Linked DNA regions of Kluyveromyces lactis. The protein of the gene in region 3 interacts with the protein of the main gene of each other region in a biochemical or structural test. Links are inferred from orthologs where the notes say so. Each region holds a gene or a part of one and is shown on either strand. Other genes may lie near its edges.

What was found.
Region 1: of the proteins of CDC5 (region 3) and MIH1, one has a biochemical effect on the other in vitro, tested with the Saccharomyces cerevisiae proteins (2 studies listed by BioGRID). The link is inferred for Kluyveromyces lactis from reciprocal best matches to the Saccharomyces cerevisiae genes CDC5 and MIH1.
Region 2: of the proteins of CDC5 (region 3) and MCD1, one has a biochemical effect on the other in vitro, tested with the Saccharomyces cerevisiae proteins (3 studies listed by BioGRID). The link is inferred for Kluyveromyces lactis from reciprocal best matches to the Saccharomyces cerevisiae genes CDC5 and MCD1.

What each region holds. Positions count from the first base shown.
Region 1 is NC_006042.1:2,490,120-2,493,632, reverse strand, and holds MIH1 (putative tyrosine protein phosphatase MIH1), read right to left. Parts: upstream 2,129-3,513; coding exon 509-2,128; downstream 1-508. Other genes in the region: IMP2 (endopeptidase catalytic subunit), read left to right, coding at 1-375; serine/threonine protein kinase ELM1, read right to left, coding at 2,904-3,513.
Region 2 is NC_006042.1:1,366,889-1,370,504, reverse strand, and holds MCD1 (kleisin alpha), read right to left. Parts: upstream 2,312-3,616; coding exon 509-2,311; downstream 1-508. Other genes in the region: RQC1 (Rqc1p), read left to right, coding at 1-396; ATP16 (F1F0 ATP synthase subunit delta), read right to left, coding at 3,524-3,616. UniProt on the Saccharomyces cerevisiae protein: Cleavable component of the cohesin complex involved in chromosome cohesion during cell cycle. The cohesin complex is required for the cohesion of sister chromatids after DNA replication.
Region 3 is NC_006039.1:539,133-543,196, forward strand, and holds CDC5 (polo kinase CDC5), read left to right. Parts: upstream 1-1,276; coding exon 1,277-3,403; downstream 3,404-4,064. UniProt on the Saccharomyces cerevisiae protein: Protein kinase required for the cell cycle where it is involved in mitotic exit. A component of the fear (CDC14 early anaphase release) network which promotes CDC14 release from the nucleolus during early anaphase. Phosphorylates SCC1/MCD1 and NET1.

The DNA.
Region 1 (3,513 bases), on a different chromosome or scaffold from region 3:
GATTGGGTTCTTCTTTGGAAGTTTAATCTCAAACAAGCCAAGAATTGGAAAGAAAATGATGTAGTACTATTCAAATCCCCTTCGAATCCAAAGAAAGTATACTGTAAACGTGTTAAAGGCGTACAGTTTGATCAGGTGAAAACTAGATCACCTTATCCTAAGGATACCTGTCTGATTCCCAGAAATCATCTATGGGTCGAAGGTGATAATGTATACCATTCAGTTGACTCTAACAATTTCGGCCCCATCAGTACTGGCTTAGCATTAGGTAAAGCAGTCAAAATAGTATGGCCCCCTTCGAGATGGAGCGCAGATCTGAACATGAGCGAAGGAAGAGGTGACATTAAAGTTTTCCCTACGATGGAACATTCGTGACGTAAAGACCGAATACCTGAAGAGAGAAAGAATTTGTTGTTATTTATGTATATATACCATATTAAGCATGCACATAATGAAATGATGAGATTATGGATTTCAATTCAATTCTTATTTTATCGTTGTACCTTGTTTATTTATTCGCATTGACTAATTCCGGGAATAATCGTTTCTTCCCAGTGATGTTACTCATTCTATCGTCAGTATCGTCATCACCAAACTGGAAACTATATCCATCTGAATCTAAATCAGACTCTTCGTGCTCCAGAAATTTTGGTTTAAACTCAGTCCCTATTTCATCTGAGAATAATAGCCTGCTACTTGTACTTAGGCTGCTACTCTTTGATGAATTTAATCCATTGTTGGGAGAACCTTCGCCATATCTGTCTAGGCACAATTTGGGCGGCACGTTTATGCTGAAATTGAAATATGATGCCTCTTCATCATAGTCGATGTTTTGTTCATTGGTCAGTTGATGTTCTTCTGTAGTAACTTTGTTGGGGAGTGGGATATTATAATCGTTGTTTACATCGCTCAAACTTACAGGACAGGTTCCAATTTTGTCTTTCAACTGGAATATTTGAGTTGAGTTTGCTCGAGTCATTAGCTTCTTACTATCTCTTTTAAACTCACTCAATTCTAATTCATGATTTTTTGAATCCATGCAGACATAATGACCCTCGCATTTATTTGGGTATTTCTCATAAAATGTTTTGAAACCACCATCTAGTACGACAACGTCAGGGAAATGAAGTTTCGGATAGTTGTCATGATTTATTATTCTATCACAGGTTCTCAAATGTGATGCCATTATAGGACCTCTATAGGAGCTAAACTCGCAATGGAAGACGATTAATGGCGGCCTTTCACTGTCACAACATCTGATGTGTCTTTTATGAATAAACTCTTCTTCTAATTGCTTTTGCTTCGATATATTAATTGCATCTTTAATGTGTCCACCGAGGAACTCGTACTGAAACCTGCAGTCAACAATATAGACTTCTTGATAGAACTTGCTATAATCATCATTCATAATTTGAAGTAAAGTCTCCACTGTTATCCTCGGTAGATTATCACTGCTATGTTCTTCGTAGTGAATTGGTAGTTTTGAAATTTCTAAACGTGAGTCATAAATTGGAATACGTGTATTTCTGATTTCTACCTCATTCGTACTGGTAAACATAGAATGTGTTCGTCTGAGCTTGGCTTTTTGGGTTAAAATAGTGGGTGCCAAATCGCGTCTTTTGAAACTCCTCTGTCGCACAGCTTTTGACGACATTTTGGGATTATAATCGCATAAAAGCGTGTTTTGTGATTCGTTGTTGTTGAGCATCATATTATCATAGGGCATCTTATCGGACTTTTCATGTGTATTAAGCGATTCGATCTCAGACTCGTCATTAGAATTTTCATAATTGGAAGACTCTTCAGTGTCTCTATTTGGAGACATCAGGGAAAGCGAGTTCTCTCTTCTCAGATTCATCGGACTTAATGGCGATTGGCAAATTGATATTGACGAGTCGCTTTCGCTAACAATCAGTGTTTGTTGTTTGAAGTCCGCCAACTTGACCATTTTTCTATCAGTGGAGGATATCTCGCCTTGAAAGGCTATAGGCCTTTTGGATTCCGATGTAACAGACCTCTTTTGAGTATATGCTTCTTTATCAGATTTCCCTCGAAGAGATATGGACCATATTGAGTGTAGGTGCTTGAAGAGCCGTGTCGGCTTTTTATTCTCGAAAGAGTTATTCATTGCTTTACGATAGAACGATCTGACAATTAAACATATATGAGAAACAATGCAGAATGATCTTTGCAGATATGCTTCAAGTCTGAGTTGAATAATACTTTAATGTCGTAAATGGAGTAGGCAACTAGGTACCTTATAGTTAAGAGCGGGAGGTGAATATAAACCTGAATTCTGATCTTTGAATGCAAAAAGGAAAAAGGAAAAACAGAATAATATGAGAAATGAAATGCCTGTTGGGACGGTTAAGTGTTCAGGAGTATATTGATAGTTCAACTTCTGGGTATGCCCGGTTCAATGTTGAGAAAGGTGGGTCTTTAAGTCGGTAATTAAATCTGGTGATTAGAACCTCACAAGCGGACTGAAGAAAAGTCTACGCAAATAGTTTCTATTGAGACAAAATCAGTAAAATTAATGAGTAGCCTTCTTTCAGTTTACCAGTCGATGACTAGCGCTGATCACAGGAATACGACAGGCGCTAATGTCTTTTTGACTTTTTGATCAATTCTATTTAAAACCTCCAGATCTTGAGGTTTATCACCGCACAGAGTGAAACAAAAACAGAAACTTTTTTTTCCTAATAATGCCATTTTGCGAAACGTAAATAGTAGGGTTTTCAATTGTAAACAAAATGAAACCTTAGCGAAAAAGACATTAATTCAAGGTTAGAAAAGGACAGCATGAATCCCGTTGCGTTCCCTGTACAGCAGGTCAAAGTTAAGGGTTTATCTATTTGTGAATGCCGGAGAGTGCGTGAGGTTATGTAATCTATGAATTTGACCTATTTAATGTACTTTTCCAAATTAACTGTCGCTCTATGGGATCGATTCAATGGTTGTTTCTTGTCTGTAAGAGGGATCGAAGCAGCATTGATACTACTGGCAGGCGAACAAAAATCCTCTTTGAAGGATTGTGTAGGAAGAATTTCGGTATTTTTATTCTTAGTGAGTAGATTTTTTTTCCATTTATTTAGCTTCAACTTCATTTTATTCATTGATGATAGTTCAGATTTGGAATGAGATTCCAATGTACGCAAAATATTTGATGTTGTTGGCCTAGAAGCTGTATTTTTGGATAGCATACGGTTAACAACGTATTCATGTATCCATCCATAAATATTTGAACTGTTATGAACGTCAGGTTTCAACTGCCGATGACAGATCAGATTGTATGTGTCAAACTCAGTTTCTCCCCAGAACGGTAATACATTGTATAAAATTGCGTACACTGTAATACCAAGCGACCAAACATCAATTTTGAAAGGCTGCTCATTACTAGCATGGGCTGACCCTTCAGCGAAATTACAAAGCTCAGGAGCTGTAAACAGTGGTGTTCCCACTATTTTATTCAGTTCTTTTTCAAATAAATCCTGTAGTCTGCCATCTTTGAAC
Region 2 (3,616 bases), on a different chromosome or scaffold from region 3:
ACTTCGTTTGACACTGATGCAGTGAAGGATATAAATGATGGCGATGATGATGACGACGTGGCGCCAACATCATTCTTCATCAATAACATTCCAATTAATTTGTTAAGGTTTGCTATTCTTTCTCAAGAGTCATCCGTTATGGCTGCTATTCCCGAAGAAATTTGGTCAGATCATTCTGTGTTTGAATTCGATGTACTACCACCACAACCACATGATAGAGAAAGTGAGTATGTAGTAGAAACAATCGAAGGACTAATTGATAGTAAACATCTAGAAATATCCCAAATGAACAGGTTCGCTGATGAGGAGCTTTTACAACACATTAACCAGTTATCAATACAAGAATACTTGGAGCAGCAGCAACAACAGCAACAACCAAATGAAGAAATCGAATAGCACAACAACTTGAACTGATCTGCCGTCATGTATATTTAAACCAACTTAAAAAAACAGATATTATTAATTATTTATACATAATGTCCGTTATAAAAGTATCCAAATTAAAAGTCTATGCGGTAACAAACGTCTCATATAAGTTTGATTTTCCTAAAATTGTGATTTGTCCAAATGTTTCCTTCTGTTTCAATGATATACAGTCTGCGGTGGCAAGAGAAAGTAACTCAAAGAATGCTTTACTGGCCATTCTTTTTGTTATTACCGCGTTATCCTGGTACTTCGAAGTAAGGATTTTATCAAAAGTAGCTTCACCGGAGCTCATTTCATCTCTCAGTAGAGTTGCCATTTCCACTGTAGATTTAGACACGATTTCACCGGTAGCAAGCTCTACTTTTTGACTTTTTTCCTTTTCAATTGACCCACGAGAGGCAAATTCGTCTGATTGAATGGCTTGGTAATCATTTTCTTCCATGGATGTATCAGCTGCAAGAACTGGAGGTTCATCATCAGCAAACACTGGTCCTTCTGATTCTGCATCAAAGCCCATTTGTTGGTGATCGAATGGATCAGAATTGTGTACCAAACTTCCATCGATACCCAAAGAGATATCTATATCAACATCGGACCCATCAGATTGGCTGGATTGTGACAGAGCTCTAGGCTTCTTTGAAGCTTTATGGTTGAAGAAATTAGATATAATCTTTTGAGGAAGGAAGTCCAGGTCAGAGTATAATTCATCGATGGCTCTTTTTTTCTTTGATATAGCGGACGAAGTCTCATCAGAAACGATAAGAATTGAGTCCGATGGTCCTCCTTTCACTTCAGAATCGTTTAATTCGGCATCAGCATCTATGAGAACCTTCTTAACATTGATAAAGGCTTTATTCCTTGGTGCCCTCTTCTTTACTGCTCTAGGTGGTATGTATGCCTCTGCTTGCTCTTGATGCTCTGGTTCTGTGTCCTTTGGCAGCCCTAGATCAAAGTCTAAGAGTGTATCATCATGCAATGAGTGAGTAATATCAGCCCTTCTCCCGATCTCTACAGACATGTCGCTACCATGGCTAGACTGATTACCAGAAATATTCTGATCATCATCGTTTAATCCCAAATCCCAATCATCGTTAAGTGGTAGCAATTCATCATCATCGTCATTGTCATTTCTAATAGTCAAATCACCTTCATTTTCTCCATCATCCGCGTTTACTTCACTAGCAGTAACACGAGTCCCTTCACCCCATGATTTAGTGTTATTGCTTTGATTAGAATCACCAAGGTCAAAATCTAATTTCAAATGAGATGAATCGTGATGTTCAATAGCATTCAAGTCATCATCTTCATCTGCCAGGAATCGCCTTCCAACTTCTAAGGACATATCCCATGCTTGTTGTTGTGCTGCAATGGCGGATGTTACAGGTGCTGCTCCTTGCACTTGTCTTTCCATTGATCGTTCAGCGATCAAAAAACCTTCTGGCACTTGGATATCTTTCAAGAAATCCAAACTGGGCATCTCCAAGACGTCAAGTTCTGTAACCGCATCTTGCAATAAAAGCTGATCTAACTTTGCCACTGTATCTAGCTGAATTGTGACGCTCTTGTTCAGCGATCCCTTGAAGATAGATTTCACTTTACTCAGTAAGTCTGTGATATCAGTAAGCAGATAGGATGCTTTTTGAGAATAAACTTTTACAACACCATGTAGTAACTCACCGGAAGCACGTAATGTGATAGGTTCCACAGATTCATCATCTAGATTAACACCTGCAGCTTTGGCAATCTCTTCAACAGATTCCACGATATTAGTCTTTGCAATGTTCCGATTGATGCTACTCAAATTGGAAGCCAGCCAGATCTGAGCCAACGGCCCATTGCTTGTATTTAATCTCACCTGAGTATGTGAATTGCTATTTGGTGGCATATACGTTGTTTATTTTTGGATTAGGTGATATAAGGCTCGTGGTTCCTGTTGCAAATGGTATAGCAAATGGATATAAACTTAAGATCGAGATTAGAACTTGATCTTATAAGGAATGGTTAGCAAAATAAAAATGAAATAAAATAGCACTGTGTCTTTTTTCAGAGGTCACGACATTAAAATTCCATAGGTAATATATATATTTGATAAAATTATTGGTAAAGGTGCAATCAATATGATGGAATAGACATACTTCTCATCCAGTGTTTATCAATGATATTTGTTAAAGGATTGCTGGTTATAGATCTCATCACGGAAACGCGTTATGGAGAAAAATCGCGAAAATATTTTTGGGGGAAAACAATGTCTTTTTCTGGGACCTCAAAAGATTTCCCGCCGGAAAAATTTCGATTTCGTGGTATAAAATCCGGGTAACAAGTGAGGACCTTATACCCATTTATTACCCTGCCTTTCTAACTCTTGTTGATGCCAAAACCAGATCATCTCTCTCAGTATGCGCAGTCAGTTTAATCGGTATATATGAATATGAATCTTAAAACTAGACATCAGTTACACACAAATCGTTTCTGCTAAAAAATATAAAATCTAAGTCTTTCAATTCGGTTCTTAATTGATAATATTTTTAACGGGGATAGACAAATTATAATCGATCCAGTGTTTTCTTTGATATTGTTAGAAAGGAAGGAATAGTATATTGAAGAAAGATTTATGTTTGTTGGTCATTAAAACAAAGACTAGAACCCCCTTTTGAAACGGAATCGAGACATCACTTGTATCAACCTCCATATCATTTAGAATTTTTAGGTTTTATCGTATTTATTTCTTCTGATTTCTTTTAATTCGCTGGGTTTTAATTCGTTGTATATTTTAGTAATAGTCGTTTTAGGTTAATTCTCAATAGTTCCCAGTCTTATTCGTACGTTCACACTACAGTATTGTATGGAAAGAAAGGACAATGACCGGAGCAACAAAAAAGGGTCTTTAGGCTAAATCATGAAATGTATTCGTCGTTGTGTTGTGTAAGCTTGTGCAATGGAATAATAGGAATTAGAATAATGAAAAAAAAGCAGACGAAGGATAATACAAACGCCGAGACAGGTTTACAATCAACCGGGAAAACAATTGCTTCCAAGTAGAGTATCCGTATCAAGTGTATTATACCTTGGTCCAATTGTAATTCTTCGTTCATCTCAATTATTTCAAAGCGGCTTGCAAAGCTTCCAAAACTTCAAGTTGGATAGCAGCTTCGGCAGCAGCAACTTCGTCAGCAGAGGAGACGTTCTTTTG
Region 3 (4,064 bases):
TAAATATAAAACAAAGGAAATTCTAAAGTAGATATATTACCGACACCAGTAATATAGAACTCTCTCGACCGTTTAGGATGTTTCTTTTTTATTAGTTTTCTTTAGGCGCTGATCAGGACAGTGCCTCTTCTCTTACTAAAAAATAGATCAGCTTTTTCTACCGAATGCTTGAAGATTTGATTTTTCAAGAATCCAAGACATTCAACAGATATTAACCTGTAAAGGGCAGAAGTGAAAATGAAAATAGAACAACCGTAAATTTTCAAAATTGCCCCCAAAAAAAAAAAAGTCTCACGTGATCTAATATTCGGGTAAGGTAATTATTTGCTTTTTCATTAGATACTTACTTAGGAAAATGTCCTTTTAAAGAAATAAGGGTTTTTGGCACTTACCGCATTGAGTGTTTTGTTATTGTTTACATTTTGTTCATTTCCGTTGTACAGATTTGGTTAATGTCGAAAAAAATTCAATAATGTAAATAGTCGGTTTTGTGTTTTCAAAGTTGACAAAACTAGTAATTTGTCGGTTTGAATAAATTTGAAGTTACAGTAAATTGCGGTAGCTCATTGTCATTGATATTACTATTTGGGTATCCTTGTATACTGGTTTGGCTTTTATATCAGCTTAAAAGTACTGGGTTTGGTATAATATACTATTATATTGGAAGGGAAAAAAGTCAGATTCTAATATTATACAGTCTTTCTTTACATACTTCCTAAGAGCATACTTGGCATAAGAGAGGGCGGGAACTCAGTCCTTTAATTGTTACCATCTTACCTGAGACGTATCAAGTGCTTATAACAAGGGTTCTTTTGATATTAGAAGCATTTTTTTACTGCGACTGCCATAATTCAGTTGAAAGTTCGATTATTCTTAGGAATACTTACATCACTGATATTAGTTTACAAACTTGCAGGTGAAAGGAAGACTTACAGTGAGCGGAAACATCATTTAACAGTCAGAATCTTGGTTGTTGTACTCATTCTGCTGTTGTTAACCTAAATCGCTTCAGTTTTTCAACGGTGCCAGTGCTTTGACGTCGTAGATTCATTTTTTTTGATCGAGAGCCACAAAACCGTTAATTGCAAGGTATTTATTGGACGGGCCAAGGAAATACACGCAAGAAAGAAATTAGTTACTGGAGGTTGATAAGTGTAGACTATTTATCACACATTGCAGTGATATTTCTTGTATACTGGTTCGACAAGGGTGTTTGACATAACAAAAGCTCGCAGGAGTATCATTCCATCAAAGAGCTACAAAATAATCAGACATCATGTCTGCACCACCACTTCAAATCATCAACGATAAACAGCTAAATGCTCGATCGAATAATATTCATACACCGATCAAGGCTAAAAGGGTTGTTACTGAGCTGCATCATATAGATAGACTTACTACGAATGGTAAACCCACCAATAATAATAATAACAATAATAATAATAATATCAATCGTCAGCAGCCGCCTCAGAAAAAGAAGAAGGAAAAACTCTCTTCTTTATGCAAAACACCTCCATCGTTGATCAAGACTAGAGGACGGGACTACCACAGAGGACATTTCTTAGGTGAGGGAGGATTTGCTCGTTGTTTCCAAATGAAGGATGACAAGGGAAAAGTATTTGCTGCGAAGACAGTTGCTAAACTGTCTATCAAATCTGAAAAGACAAGAAGGAAATTACTATCAGAAATTCAGATCCACAAATCTATGAAACATCCCAATATCGTTCAATTTACAGACTGTTTCGAAGATGATACTAACGTTTATATCTTATTAGAGATCTGTCCAAACGGATCTGTTATGGAATTATTAAGACAAAGAAAACATTTGACGGAACCTGAAGTAAGATTCTGTATGATCCAAATCATTGGTGCCATAAGATATATGCACAGTAGAAGAGTTATTCATAGAGACTTGAAACTTGGAAATATTTTCTTCGATAAAGAGTACAACTTAAAAATCGGTGATTTCGGTCTTGCTGCTGTCTTGGCAAATGATAAAGAGCGTAAATATACCATTTGTGGTACACCTAACTATATTGCTCCAGAAGTGCTCACCGGAAAGCACACTGGTCACTCATATGAGGTTGATATTTGGTCAATTGGTGTGATGCTCTATGCATTGCTATTCGGTAAACCACCATTCCAGGCAAAAGAAGTTGAAACAATCTATGAAAGAATTAAGTGTAGAGATTTCATTTTCCCAGCTGACAAACCGGTATCCTCAGATGCTAAAAACTTGATTTCACATCTCTTACAGTTAAATCCAGCCGCCAGACCATCGTTATATGAAATAACTGATAACGTATGGTTCAGAAATACTTTCCCTTCAAGATTACCGTCTACAATAACCAAGGAGATTCCAAATTTCGATCACCTCAGTTTCAGCGAGTCATTGATTAACTTGAAACAATGTATGCTAAACTCAGGGTTACTTAAGAGCTCACAAACTCATTCTTATGATGGTAGTAAGAATCCAATTGAGTTAGTGAGAACAGAAATAGAAGAAGAAAGAAACAGAGCTGTTTTACCACAATCCTTGTCACCAGGCGGAACCAAAAATAAATATAAAGAAGTTATCGATCTTGATGGCCACAGAAAATTTAACGAGATGGCATATCAAAATCGACTGAAAAAAGCCGGAGAGAATCTATTCTTCAAGCCTGAGTTGGTGGCAACTTCAACTAACATGATTAAATCCGAAATGTCGCTGAAAATACTTGCAAGTGAATGCCACATGACACTACGAGGGATCAAGAGTGCCGAAATAGATAAGAGGCAATCAAACTATCCTTCTCCAGACTCCACCGTACAAGACCCAATCGTGGTCACAAAATGGGTAGACTATTCGAACAAACATGGATTTGCATACCAGTTATCAACTGACGATATCGGGGTGTTATTCAACAACGGAACCACAGTATTAAAGCTAGCAGATGCGGAAGAATTCTGGTATATTAACTATGATACTAAGGAAGGATGGGTTGCAAGCCATTATAAATTAGAATCTAAACCTATTGAATTAACAAGACACCTTGAAGTGGTCGATTTTTTCTCAAATTACATGAACTCCAATTTGAGTAGAATTTCTACGCTGGTCCGTGAAACTTATCATAAAGATGATGTGTTCTTGAGAAGATACACCCGTTATAAACAGTTTGTTATGTTTGAGTTGAGTGATGGTACTTTCCAATTCAACTTCAAGGATCACAATAAATTTGCATTGTCACATGGAGGTAAATTCTTAACATTTATTTCATCTGATCGTAAAACGATAACGTTACTGCTTTCGAGTGTTCTAATAGATGGATGTGTACCAGGATTCCCTTCTATTGATATATTCGAGAAACTAGAACTAATGAAGGAGGGCTTGAGAGATAAAGCAAGTGTTCTAACAATACATTAGGTAGGGATGTCATTGTGATAATATGCAATTTGCATTTGAATGTCTTCATCTGGTTGTACAAGCCAGCATGTATGGCTACGTCCATCAAGCGCCTTTATGTATTTTTTTCGCATTCCTGCATCCAACGATTTATACCAAATGATACCAGCTATTCCTGATCGTTGTGTTCCCCCGATTGCAACTTCTAAAACTGCCATCCATTCTGTATCAAAATATCTTCACCTGTCAGATTTCATTGTTTCATTAGTTAATTTTGAATCTGTGATGAAATAAGCCTGGGGCTGCCAGAATAAATTTGTTTAATTTAACATAAATTAATAATTGAATCTTAACATGATCCCTCACCAGAAAAACTGTATCTTAAAAGTAACAACAAATGTATACAAGTTAGAAAGATGTGAAGATATCAAAATTCGAATATCTTGTTCCTTCCAAGGTTTTTTTATTGCAAACAAGGTCACTATTCTGTACTGATAATACCCAAAAAACCCAAAAGAAATAGTCCTATACACAATGAACGTTGAACTTTACGGTGGATAGTAATACGCTCTCCTATTTTATAGCCGAAACACAACACAGTTCATGAAAATAATACATAGAAGGGAAGAGGGGATAGAGAAAAACCGAAGGAGGTTCAATAATTCTTTTGAAAAGATGAATT